3 linked regions of the Canis lupus familiaris genome follow. The protein of the gene in region 1 binds, or shares a complex with, the protein of each later gene. Links are inferred from orthologs where the notes say so. Each region holds a gene or a part of one and is shown on either strand. Other genes may lie near its edges.

Region 1 (4,213 bases):
TGGATTTCAAGCTTCCTCAGACACCAGGAAAAAGAAAACCACGGCCAACCCACTGGCTGCCGTCCCCCGAGCTAAGGAGAAGGCCAGAAGTGGAATTAAAATTCCTTATTTCGCAAGGCTGCCGCCCACTGCCCCCTTTAAAGCGCGACCCTTACAAAGCTCGACCCCACCGTGCACCTGAGCCCCCTCGGGCTGGCAAGTCCAAGGCACAGAAAGTCTAGAAGGAGCAGATGGGGGCGGGGGGGACCACAAATACTGAGCAAGTCTTTTAAGGGAGAGAAGGCTTTTTTTTTTTTCTTTTTTTTTAAGGGGAAATGTCCACACCATCCCCAGCCCCGTGGAGGCAGGACCCTGGTAGGCCAACCGCAGGCCTCAGGGTTAGTGTGGACGCACGTCCTCGCGAGCCATCCGAGCTGGGTTTCTGGCAGTGGCAGGAGCTCCCTGCGGGTCCCGAGGGGATGGAGGATGTGCAGAGGGGCAAGGGGGGCTTTGCCTCTCTGCTCCTCGAAGCCACCCGTGTGCCTGCACAAGGGACACTCGCTGCCGCTCCCCGAGCGGGTCCCCGAGGGCAGCGAGAGCGCCCGCGCCCTGTTGCAGGGCGCACGATGGAGCTGGAGGACCCGCTGCACCAAAACCCTGCGCTCAGGCCGCTCGGGGACAGGCGGCCGTGAGCAGGGAGGGCAGAAACATCAGGGCACGTTCCTGTCTTCCTTCGCTCAGATAACCCCCTACCTACCTCTGGGTAGCCAAGAGCTACTGGATGAGAGGGCAGAAAAAAAGGAGGGGTTCCCTATCCTCAGAACAGCGAGATCAAAAAGCGAATCGCCCCCTCCTTCCCACCCGTTCCCCGACTAGGGCAGAGGACGTGGCCTCCACCCCCGGGGAGGGGGCCGGACAGACTCCGAGGAGCACCGGGGTGTAGGTGTAGCCGGTGGGGGGTGGGGGGCTGCACTGGGGAGAACAGGGGTGGGGGTGTCTGCACGAGGGGCGAGGGAGGCGGCTGGCCTCTGCCCTGCGGGAGGCTCGGCCAGCGGAGGGCTGGAAGTGGAGGGTCGCCGAGCCGCACACCGCTGCGTGTGCTCATTTATCACCGTCACCCGTGGCCAATACTGTTCCCGTCTTAAGCCGGCCAGAAAGAAGCGAGTCTAGTCTAGCTCGGCCAGCCGGGAACAGCCTGCAAAAGGGCAAAGATGAAGGTAGGCAGGGCGCGCGAGACAGGAAGAAAATCCGCCCCGGCGCGAACAGCCACCCAGCCGCCGACCACCCCCGCCCCCCTGCGCCCCCACTGGAGCAGCCCCGCCGAGCAGAGTTGCAGGGTGCAGGGTGCAGGGGCCGCCGCGGGCCGGGGCCGGGGGAGAGCCACGATCTCCCTAAACCGCCCGCTCCCAGCCCCGGGCCCCCGCGCCCGGGAGGGCTGCCTCACTCCAGCACCAGAGCGCAGCCCCGCGGCGCCCCAGCCCCGAGCGGGGGTCGCCCCTCGCCCCGGGCACGAGAATGCAGGCTGCTGCCAACATCCCCGATCCTCCACCGTCAGCCTCCAGCTTCCGTCCTCCTAACCCCAGCCTCTCCAAAAAGGGTCAGGAGGCAGCAAAGCAAAGTCCCCCTCCTCCGGAGCTCCTTCGATCCTCTCGGGGGCGAGGGGCGCACCTTGGGCCCCCCCCCAAACCACAGAGGCATCCTCTCCCTGGCCCTAGGCTCCTCGACCGCCCCCAGAGCTCTCGCTCTCCCGAACGCTGGCGGATCAGCAAAGCGATCTTTTTTATTATTATTATTATCTTCCCCACTCGGGCTCTCCAAGACATCCCCCCCCCTCCCCACCCCCGCCACGAACCCAAGCAAGAGCAGACCCCTACGGCCCCGGTCCCCCTTCCCGGGCAGCTCCTGCTTCCACCCTCACCAACCACCAGCCTCCCTAAACGCCGCCAGAACCAGCGGAGCGGATGCCTCTCTCCTCTCTGCGTGCCCGGCCCCCCTGCACCCTCGCTGGGGTCCCCGGGACGGGCGCCCGAGCTCCGGTGCCGCGGCGACAACTCCGCATCCCCCGCGCGCGCCGGCCAGGGCCGGGTCCGCTCCGCGGCCGGCACTCACCGGGGAAGCACACGACATAATGGAGCACGGAACTGGTGATTTTCAGGAACAAAATCCACCAACACGGTTCCAGTAACCTCCGCATGTCCGAAAACGCACATCGAAAAGAGGAAGGCAGGGGGAGGGGGGGTAAACTTGTTGAATAAGTTCTCGCCTCCGAGTGAGCCTCCGCGAAGCCCCGGCTCTTCCCCGGCTCGCCCGCTCCACGGGGCCCCCCTGCGCTCGGTGGCCCGAGTCCCCCCCGGAATCCGGGAAGCCGCCGAGCGCCCCCCGGGGAAAAAAAAAAAAAAAATCTCAAAAAGTGACCGGGAACGCGGAGCCACGCTGGGGACGATCCTCGGCGGAGAAGGGCTGCTTCCCGTTCAGAAACAAGAGCGAGCCGGGCGAGCAGGGCGAGCGGTCGGCGGCCGGCGACGATGCCCGGGGCCCGGGGCGCGCAGGACCGCAGGCGGCAGCGGCGAGCAGCCGGAGATCCCCAACTTGAGTCGGCGGCGCGGCGCAGCCCGGGAGCCGGCGGGCGGCGGCGGGGCTGAGCGCGGCGCGGCGCGGCGTCTCCCGGCTTCAGGCAGGCAGCTCCTTCCAGGGCCCGGGGAAGGAAGGAGGCATGTTTGCGCGCGGGGAAGGGGAGGGGAGAGGCGGGGGGAGCGAGGAGCCCCCCGAAATAGAAACGGCCGGAGGAAACGGAGGAAAACACAAAGGATCTCAGAGGGGCGCAGGGGCGAGGGCGCCTTCAGTCCATGCTCCTGAAAGTTGTGGCTCCAGCGCAGGCTGGGGAGGAACGAGGAGCGCGGGGCTGGAAACTGGCCATGCCTCCATACAGGAAGTAACATGTGAGCATGGATCCTGGCAGAGACTTTAAAGCCGGCGAGCGAGCGAGCAGGGGGCGCGCGGCGGCGGGCGCGGGGGCGCGCGGGCCGGGGAGGGGGGAGCGCGCGGCGGCGGGCGCGGGGGCGGGGGGCGCGGGGGCGCGCGGGCCGGGGCCGCGGGCGGCGGGCGCGCGCTCACCGCGCTCTTAAAGCAGCCGCTCTCGGCTCGCGCGTTGGAGGGGGTCCCGCCGCCGGGTTCTCCCCGCGCGCGCGCGCGCGCTTTCGCGCCCCCCCCCCCCGCCCTCCACCCGGGTGCGGGGCTGCGGGCTCGGCTCAGCCAGTTTGGCGGGGGGGAGCTGGGGACGGCTCTGGCCGGGTCTCCGAGACACGGAGGAGGGCGGCTGCCTGGTTGAGCTGGCGAGTCTTTGCCAGATTCCAGTTCTGCGAGCTCTTAAAGACGCCGAGCGTTGCGCGGGCTTGGCGAGAGGGCGCCTCTCCGTGCGCGTTGCTCGCAGATCCCGGGCCTTTGGAGAGAGGGGCTGCATTGGGGTCGGAGGAGAGGACGGGGGTCGGGCGGCTGCCTTCCTCCTTAGGGCAGGGCGGAGAGCTTCCCAGCTCGGCTCCAGCAGCGCCGCCGCGGGGCGCGCCCTGCCCAGTCCCCGCTCGCGCCCCCAGCCCGGCACAGCCCCCCGCCTGGAAACAAAGCCGAGAGAGGCCTGTGCACTCGGGCTGCGTCGGGATTTTTTTTTTTCTTTCTTTCTTTCTTTTTTTTTTTCCCTCCTTTCAGGCTTCCATTGGCCGAGTCCGCGGCTGGGGGTGGGGGGAGGGGAAGATATCGATCCCAGGCTTGCAAAACGCAGCCCTTGCGGTCGCACACCCTCTCCCCCCTCTCGCCCCGACGCCTCGGCGGCGGAGTTTTCCCAACTCGCAGCTCGGCGGGAGCAGGGAAGGTTCCCGCGCTCGGGCCGGGCGGTGCGGAGAGCGCGGGAAGTGCGCCCCTCGCCCCGGGCTGGGGGAAAGCAGCGCCGCGGGGCTGGCCCGGCTTCCTGGCGGCTGCCCGGGGAGCGGCTGCCTCGTTAGCAACCCGGGAGAGGAGAGGCGTCCGGTGGAAACGGGAGGACTGGGCTTATCTGTAATGAGTTTTGTCCCTGGGCTCTCGGTGAGAAGATCCTTATCGCTCAGACTTCTAAGCGCCCTATTTTCTCCCCTTCCGCGGGTGCCGAGAGTGGGGGAGGCCGGCTTCTGATGAAACGCTGTAAGCGAGCCAAGGTAATTTGCCATTTGTAATTTTTGCCTAATTTTTCCGCCTCTGTTTAGAA
Region 2 (3,645 bases), about 14 Mb from region 1:
ATGTATTTTTATATATTCTCAGTAGTAATCAAATATATCTTTTTGTTTTTCAGTTTCTTCCTGGCCAGCTAAATCTTTTTCTTTCAAAATAACTGAGTTGGATAGAAAATTACCTCCCACGTAATGACGAGTTCCGACCGACTTCCACCACCTCCATTGATGTTTGTTGGTGCCACAACAGGGACTGGAAGCAACCAAGAGAAACGTGGGACAGCGATTATTAAAGTACATCTTCATCAGGAAGAATTTTGTTTTTAGATTTCACCTTTCAAAATCTCATGCTGCACATTGTGAGAGTCTTGCATTTTTAATGAACATAAATTATGTTTACACATATCCAAATTTCTAAGAGAGAGGACACAGTTGTGTTTGATCCATGAGCACCCTGGCTCCAAAATTAATTAAAAATCGAGTAACATCATGTATTTGACATTATTATGCATCATCTGCTAATTGGCAAAATGATGTTCCATTCAGATGGTAACAGTGACACCGCTGATTTAGTGCCTAATTATACAGTTGTGCTGTAAACAAGTTACTGAGGCAGTATATTAATTAATTCTTTTTTGTAATAAACAAACTAAAATGATTTTTTTTTAGTCAAGATGGCTTAACATTTAAAAATGCATTCTTAAAAATACGTAAGTACATAAATCCTTGTTATTGTAACTCTGTGTTTGAATCTCACATCTCCCAGTACAGAACAGGAAGGACTCTTCCTCTGACTTTTCACTTGCCAGTTAAGAGGATGGCCTCCTGTCAAGGATGTGATAGAGAGTATTTTCTCCGTTTAATTCTAGGACTCTAAGGCTCTGTGGGAGAACATTCTAGACACTGATCATTTGAATTAGAAAACAATTATGCCCATCATGTATACCCTTGTGAGGACTCATATAACGAATAATAAGTAGTTTGAGGTAAATTACAAAATTGATGACAGTTATATGTGTGGGTCTTGTAGTATGTAATCAGAATGGGGTTTGACTTCATATACGTGGAAGTGCTAAAATGTAATCCTTTTCATGAAATAATGGCAGATGCATCCTAAAACTGTGATAATGGATATATCTGCATGATATATTTTTAAAGGTTGAAGTACATGTAATTATCTATATTTGGCCATTTTTTATCAAGATCTAGAGGTGGGGGGGTGGAAGTACCTGGTTATTTTTGCTGACTGGAGGGCAGGAATTAAAATACATACTATTTCATTGCCCATTTCAAAATTTTCTTTCACTGTGAAGACCATTCAGACAAATCTAGACTACTTATTTTATTTACTGCCATTTGTTACAGATGTTTAACTTTATAAACAACACAGTGATATAATAGTCTAATTCTTCTTTTTAATAATAGCACCTATCAGACATTATCCATTTTCATATTCAAAGTTGCCCTTTGTCACTACTTTGAACTTCACAATATATTTAAAAGATTGCCTTGTACCTATACCCTATTTTCTAATTTCTATTTTTCAAATGAAACATACTAAACCTAAAACCGTATTGAGAAGCATCTTTAAGAAGCTACACACACAAAAAAAGGACACACTTCAGTATCATTTGGAAATTCAGGGTAATTATATTATGAACACCAAGTCATACCATGCTATTGAAACAAGACTGTCGGAGCTTATTAGAAGGTAGTGCACAAGCTTTATGTAAAACTTTATAGTTAGAGTCAACCCTGCCCAAAGCTACCATGATCTGAATCAGCTGTACAAAATGACATAAAACTCATGGTAAGAGTGAGACATAGGCCACCCTTGGAGATTTTCATCCAGCCAATCTATGGTAAGGACTGGAGACTTTTATATTTACACATTTCCTTATGCCAATTTCTTGCTCATCTAGGTTAAGACCCATAGTTATGGAAAAATGCTGGTGCACAGCCTGAAGGTCTGAGTTCAAATTCTGACTCTTTCTGAAATAGTCAGCTAAGATCCTGGTTTTCCTTTTCCTCTTCTGTAAAATGAAGGACTCTCCTCTCAACTCTAAACTTCTATGATCTAATTTAAGATCTTACTGTCAAAAATGTTTTTCTGTCCCAATCCTACAATAAAAATACTTATATTATCTTTAATATGAAAAAAGCCTTATTGACATCTGACAGTTGTACACACTTAATTGAAGTACTTTGTGCTTGTTAAACTAAGCCAGTGACAACAGAGTGATCCCTCATTTATATGACTGAATAAGAATGTGAACTTTGTCAGCTGCACACAGCAAGCAGATCAAATGTTACCCTGGATGTAAAATTTAGGAGTGGAACAAAGAGGATCCATTGAAAAAAACTTAAGAAGAGGTGATTTCTGAGCCAGGTTCCACTTGTATTTTGCTGTTCAGTGAACCAACTGATGCTCAATTAGTGCTTCTGTTAAATGAGCTTAGGATTTTCCTCATTTGCATGGGAAAGGATTTATACTATTGCTCAATGAAGCTGCAACTAGGTCAGAGTTGAGAAATAGATGGAAATGTGTGGCTGATTGCACCTACAGAGTCTCAATTAATTCTTGGCTACAACATTTAATGAAACAAGCAGTAACTCATTTGCATGTACAAATCTACAGATTCTCTGTTGGAGTTTGGCTAGAAAATAGATGAGATGAGAGGACAGATTCTGAAAAACTCTTATTTTTGACATGTCTGCTTAGTTATAATCATCTCTTATTGAACTTATATTTAGGAGAAAATACTCCTTGCTTTGTGTACATACAAATGTTAAAATGAAAGCTGATGGTTTCCTGCCTCTGATTTGGGGCCCCAAACAAGACCCATAAAAATACTTCTTACTTGTTTTCTTTAAGAACTACATGGTAAAAAGTCTTCCATGAATTTAGAATAATTTCTTACCTGATGCTTTGGTTCTTAACAATTCTGATGCTTTACTTGGTTCTCCAATCCCAATGCTATTTCCAGCAACGACGCGAAATTCATATTCCACCCAAGGACTCAAACCAATCACTGTTGCATTGTACGTCTTGCCATTGAGAATTTCTGGAACTAAAAAGGGAGTGGCACTTCAGGCATCAAAACTATCACTACTTAACAACAATCAATCAATCGAACAAAAATCTGTTTTAGAAAAAGCATCTGAAAACACTGGTGTCACTTACCAGTTGAAACAGCCTGCCAACCCACTGAAAATGGTGTCCGAGCTTGAACAGTAAATATTTGAATGGGACTATTATTATCTGAGCCTGGTCTCCAGCTTAGTTGAGAAGTAGTACTGGAAATGTGTTCCACTCTTACATCCTCAGGGGGACCTGGTGGACCTTGAAAAATATGTTCGATGATTCAATTATCTTTTAATAATTGAAAATTATTGAATTCATTGATTTGAGATGGGGCAGTTTATTCTTATCTGTTATACTTAGAAAATAAAGTATTGAACATAAAGGTACTTGTAGGAAATTATTTGAGATAAAGCCCTATTAACTCAGTTTACCTGGTAAGAGACTAATTTAGAAACCATTCTTTGAAAATTAGAAAATTCTGGGGCACCTTATGGCTCAATCAGTTAAGTGACCAACTCTTGGTTGGCTTAGGTCATGATCTCAGGGTTGTGGGACAGAGCACCATGTTGGGCTCTGTGCTGGGCAAAGAGCCTTCTTAAGATTCTCTCCTTCTCCCTCTGCCCAACTGC
Region 3 (3,645 bases), about 15 Mb from region 1:
TATGTGACAAGTCTGCCCAATTGTTGAGCTCCATCCCTAGAGGCCGAAGTTCAGTGGTTTGAAAGGACTGAAGTTCTGGTTCTAATGCTTGGATAGGCGTTTATTAACCATGCGGTGGTACACAAAAGACAGGACAATACACACTCTGCCCGTGCAGAGTTTACAATCTTGTTGAAGGCAGAGAGCACATGCAGAACAATTACAGAGGAATGTTGACAATAAACAACAATACGGTGCAGACAGAATGAAGTGCGGTGGCGTTCTGAAGTAGCAGGCTGCTCAGAGTAGGGTTGGGCTAATGGCTTCTCGGAGGAAGGTGAGTTTTGAGCTGGGTGCTGAAGGAAGTGGTGGACATAGGTTGACCCCTGGCTCACTGTGCTTAACCTCTTTGATCCCCAGATTTCTCTGTAAAAGAGGGGAGATTATGCTAGCTTCCTTCTCAGGACTGCTGAGAGGAATCAATTAAATGACAGTTTTGGAGGGGGAAAAGAAAGAATGGGGATTAGCGACGTGATCATCATGTAAATGGAAAACTCCAGACAGAATTTAAAAATTGGTGACTGGGTGTGTTCCCTCGGTTAGAGATAATGAAATCAATCTAGAGGGTTTCTGTCCAAGAGTAGGGTCAGAGTTCCCTTCTGCTTAGGAACCTTCAACAAACATCGGGCCCTATTACAGCTGGGGACTCTACAGAGCCCCACACGTAATGTAGGCCTCCCATTGCACAAGAGAAGGAAATGTACAACTGACATAGGTGCAGGTTTTCTCTCCCTGTGCTCATGCAAGCTGTGAACACAGAGGGTCCTGCTAAATTGCTGACTGGGCTTGTATGAATTAGCAGGATGTTCTGCATTTTAGCTTCTGGGCATGGTTGATACTCTAAGAAAATCTTACTGAACATTTCTGAAGAATTGATTATTTGTGACGAGTGATTTCTGTGTGTTGATTTCATTTGAAATGTGGGTGTGCGTATTAAAAAAATAATTCCTGGTTGGAGAATCTTGGTGACAAATGAACCAACAAAGAAAGTGCTGGTGTTTGAAAGACGAAGCACACGGTGTCTCTCTTTGTACAAGGTGACCCAGGGAAGAGTGAGAACTGAACTAAGCTGAGCATCTACTGGCCTGATTTCTGATCATTATAACTATTCAAGGGGCAGGGGGTGCTGATGCAGAGCTTCATTAGGGCTTAAAGTAGGAAGAATTCAAAGCCTTTTCCTGAGAAATAATAGCCACCAGCACAGACTCTCTGTGTCCTGGCTGCTACTCACGAGCCTCTTCTGTCCTCCTTTTCTCTGAGGGCCGGCTGGGTTCCCCAATCCCAATCACGTTGGCAGCAACTGTGCGAAATTCATACTCAACCCACGGGTTCAAACCCACAACGGTCGCTGTGAATGTCTTCCCATCAATCAGTTCTGGGACTGAAAGACATCAGAAGGTGGGGATGTTTTACAGGATTCCATGTTAAGCAGATAGGAACTTCCATCCATCACCATCACCATTACGGTGTGCAGGGCACTGTAGGTGGCCTGAGAGTAGTTGCACAACAGCTGTTACAGGGAAGCAATCCCAGAACTCCCTTTGCTAAACTAACAAGTTTCTAATCAGGTATGAGACGATGACATTAGGGTCTTCAAGGCCTCAAAGCACTTGACTGTAATCATTACTGCTATCACCTGATACATTTTTCAGCATTTATTGCACAGTGTTGGGCACACTGATTTTTTTTTAAAAGATTTTATTTATTCATGAGAGACACAGGGAGAGAGAGAGGAAGAGACACAGGCAGAGGGAGAAGCAGGCTCCATGCAGGGAGGCCGATGTGGGACTCAATTCTGGGTCTCCAGGATCATGCCCAGGGCTGAAGCCTGCGCTAAATTGCTGAGCCACCCAGGCTGCCCCACACTGATTAATTTTTACAACTATTCTATGAGTAAATTAAAATTACTTTGTTTTTATTGATGAGGAAAATGGGCCTTATAAAGGTTAAGTTACTAACCCAAGATTGCACTGGATCTGCATCTTCGTCAAACTGTGTGGTCCAAGTTCTATAACTCATCATAATGAAGTTAACAATATTACAAAGCTATACTACTACTGACAGTGAACTCTACTAACATATCTCAAGAAAGAATCTGAAAACATAAAAGGAAAGGCCATGGAGAACACAAAAAAGGGAGTCAGAGAAGTAGAATTTGACAGTATCCACCCAGCAGTATTTGGAGAAGGGCTCCTTGCCAAGAGGACATGGCCCACTATTTGGTGCCATAAGCGAAGAAGCTGTGGACATTGCCTCTATGCTCACTGAACAACTTTTTATTTTTTATTTTTATTTTTTTATTTTTTTCTGAACAACTTTTTAAACCAGTTATCATAAAGATTCTCCATGCAATGGGTGCCTACCTCTACCTCAGTCAGTAGAGCATGCAACTGTTGATCTCAGGGTTGTAAGTTCAAGCCCCATATTGGGCTAGAGCTTACTAAAAAAAAAAACAAAACAAAACAATTAAAAATAAAGTAGCCCCATAGTGGGCTGGAGCTTACTAAAAAAAAATAATAACAAATAAAAATAAAGTAAAAATAAATATTTCCTACGTAGCCCAGAACTCTGAAAGGGAGATCAACTTTGACAAAGCTGAGGCCATCATACAGGTGACTAGGGTTCAGTGGCTGCCAGCCTCCCTAGGCCACAACTAACACAGTCCTAACTTCCAAAGGTAAAGAGTGTGGGGCTTTGGAGTCAGACCATCTGTATTCTAAACCCAAATCCATGCTTAGTAGCCCAATGACCTTGGGCACGTTACTTAATCTTTCCATGCCTTGGTTTCCCTACCAAACATTGAGGTTAATAACAATATCTATTCATAGTACTGTTGAGAAAATCCAAAAAAAGGACTTAGCAGAACATATAGCACATATCAAGGGCTCAGCAAATTCTAGTAATTTTTTAAAAAAGATTTTATTTATTCATTCATGAGAGACAGAGAGAGAGAGAGAGGCAGAGATATAGAGGGAGAAGCAGACTTCCTGTGGGGAGCCCGATGTGGGACTCGATCTCAGGACCCTGGGATCACGACCTGAGTCAGAGACAGATGCTCAATCTCTGAGCCACCCAGGTGTCCCTCCTTTCGTTCATTATATTTATGTAGTACTTCCTGTTTTTAAAAAAGTTTCACAATCGTTTCTCTTTGGGTCATAAACAATTCTTATCATGCCCATTTAACAGCCGAGGAAAACGCAACTGTATAGCGATCTACCAAGTAGCAGAGTCAGGACTGCATGATCCCCTAACTTCCAGCTTTTTCCTATCTTTCCTTCCTAAGCACTCTTGTGACTCAGAAGAAAGTCAGAGATTGAACTGGAAACACAGAAACCCATTTCTGAGGTTGGATAAACTGATGTGAAAAACAAACGAGGTTGTTAAAATCAGTATGATTCACCTGAGTTGCGCAGAACTAGGCCTATCGCTCCATGTATTTCTACCTCAAAACATCAAGATATGGCCATCTCACATAGTTTTTAATATAACAAAATCTCATGCCTCTTCATTTCCAAACTCAACCATCTAAAAAAAAAATGGATAGCAAGTCAAGAGGCTCCAGGCAGTCCTTAGTTATTGATTTCTTGAGAGCAGTAAATAAACTTT

Evidence for each region.
Region 2: the proteins of PTPRG (region 1) and CNTN6 are in contact, whole or in part, in a crystal structure (PDB 5E5U), measured with the Mus musculus proteins. The link is inferred for Canis lupus familiaris from reciprocal best matches to the Homo sapiens genes PTPRG and CNTN6. Residues at the interface, in NP_033007.2 of Mus musculus: Val225, His226, His227, Lys229, Phe288, Thr290, Gln292, Gln293, Asp294, His295, Val296, Lys297, Ser298, Val299, Glu300, Tyr301; in NP_059079.2 of Mus musculus: Arg129, Val132, Arg135, Gln138, Gly139, Val140, Val141, Leu142, Leu143, Cys144, Gly145, Met222, Gly223, Tyr225, Glu226, Pro227, Lys228, Glu230, Leu252, Asn306.
Region 3: the proteins of PTPRG (region 1) and CNTN4 are in contact, whole or in part, in a crystal structure (PDB 3KLD), measured with the Mus musculus proteins. The link is inferred for Canis lupus familiaris from reciprocal best matches to the Homo sapiens genes PTPRG and CNTN4. Residues at the interface, in NP_033007.2 of Mus musculus: Lys222, Val225, His226, His227, Lys229, Phe288, Thr290, Gln293, Asp294, His295, Val296, Lys297, Ser298, Val299, Glu300, Tyr301; in NP_001103219.1 of Mus musculus: Thr128, Arg129, Ser130, Val132, Ser133, Arg135, Gln138, Gly139, Met140, Val141, Leu142, Leu143, Cys144, Gly145, Val219, Met220, Gly221, Glu222, Tyr223, Glu224, Pro225, Lys226, Glu228, Leu250, Asn304.

The regions. Positions count from the first base shown.
Region 1 is NC_049241.1:29,656,373-29,660,585, forward strand, and holds the start of PTPRG (receptor-type tyrosine-protein phosphatase gamma), read right to left. Parts: upstream 2,926-4,213; 5' UTR 2,174-2,925; coding exon 2,089-2,173; intron 1-2,088.
Region 2 is NC_049241.1:15,980,681-15,984,325, forward strand, and holds part of CNTN6 (contactin-6), read right to left. Parts: intron 3,275-3,645; coding exon 3,116-3,274; intron 3,003-3,115; coding exon 2,853-3,002; intron 185-2,852; coding exon 114-184; intron 1-113. UniProt on the Homo sapiens protein: Contactins mediate cell surface interactions during nervous system development. Participates in oligodendrocytes generation by acting as a ligand of NOTCH1.
Region 3 is NC_049241.1:14,426,475-14,430,119, forward strand, and holds part of CNTN4 (contactin-4), read right to left. Parts: intron 1,421-3,645; coding exon 1,271-1,420; intron 1-1,270. UniProt on the Homo sapiens protein: Contactins mediate cell surface interactions during nervous system development. Has some neurite outgrowth-promoting activity. May be involved in synaptogenesis.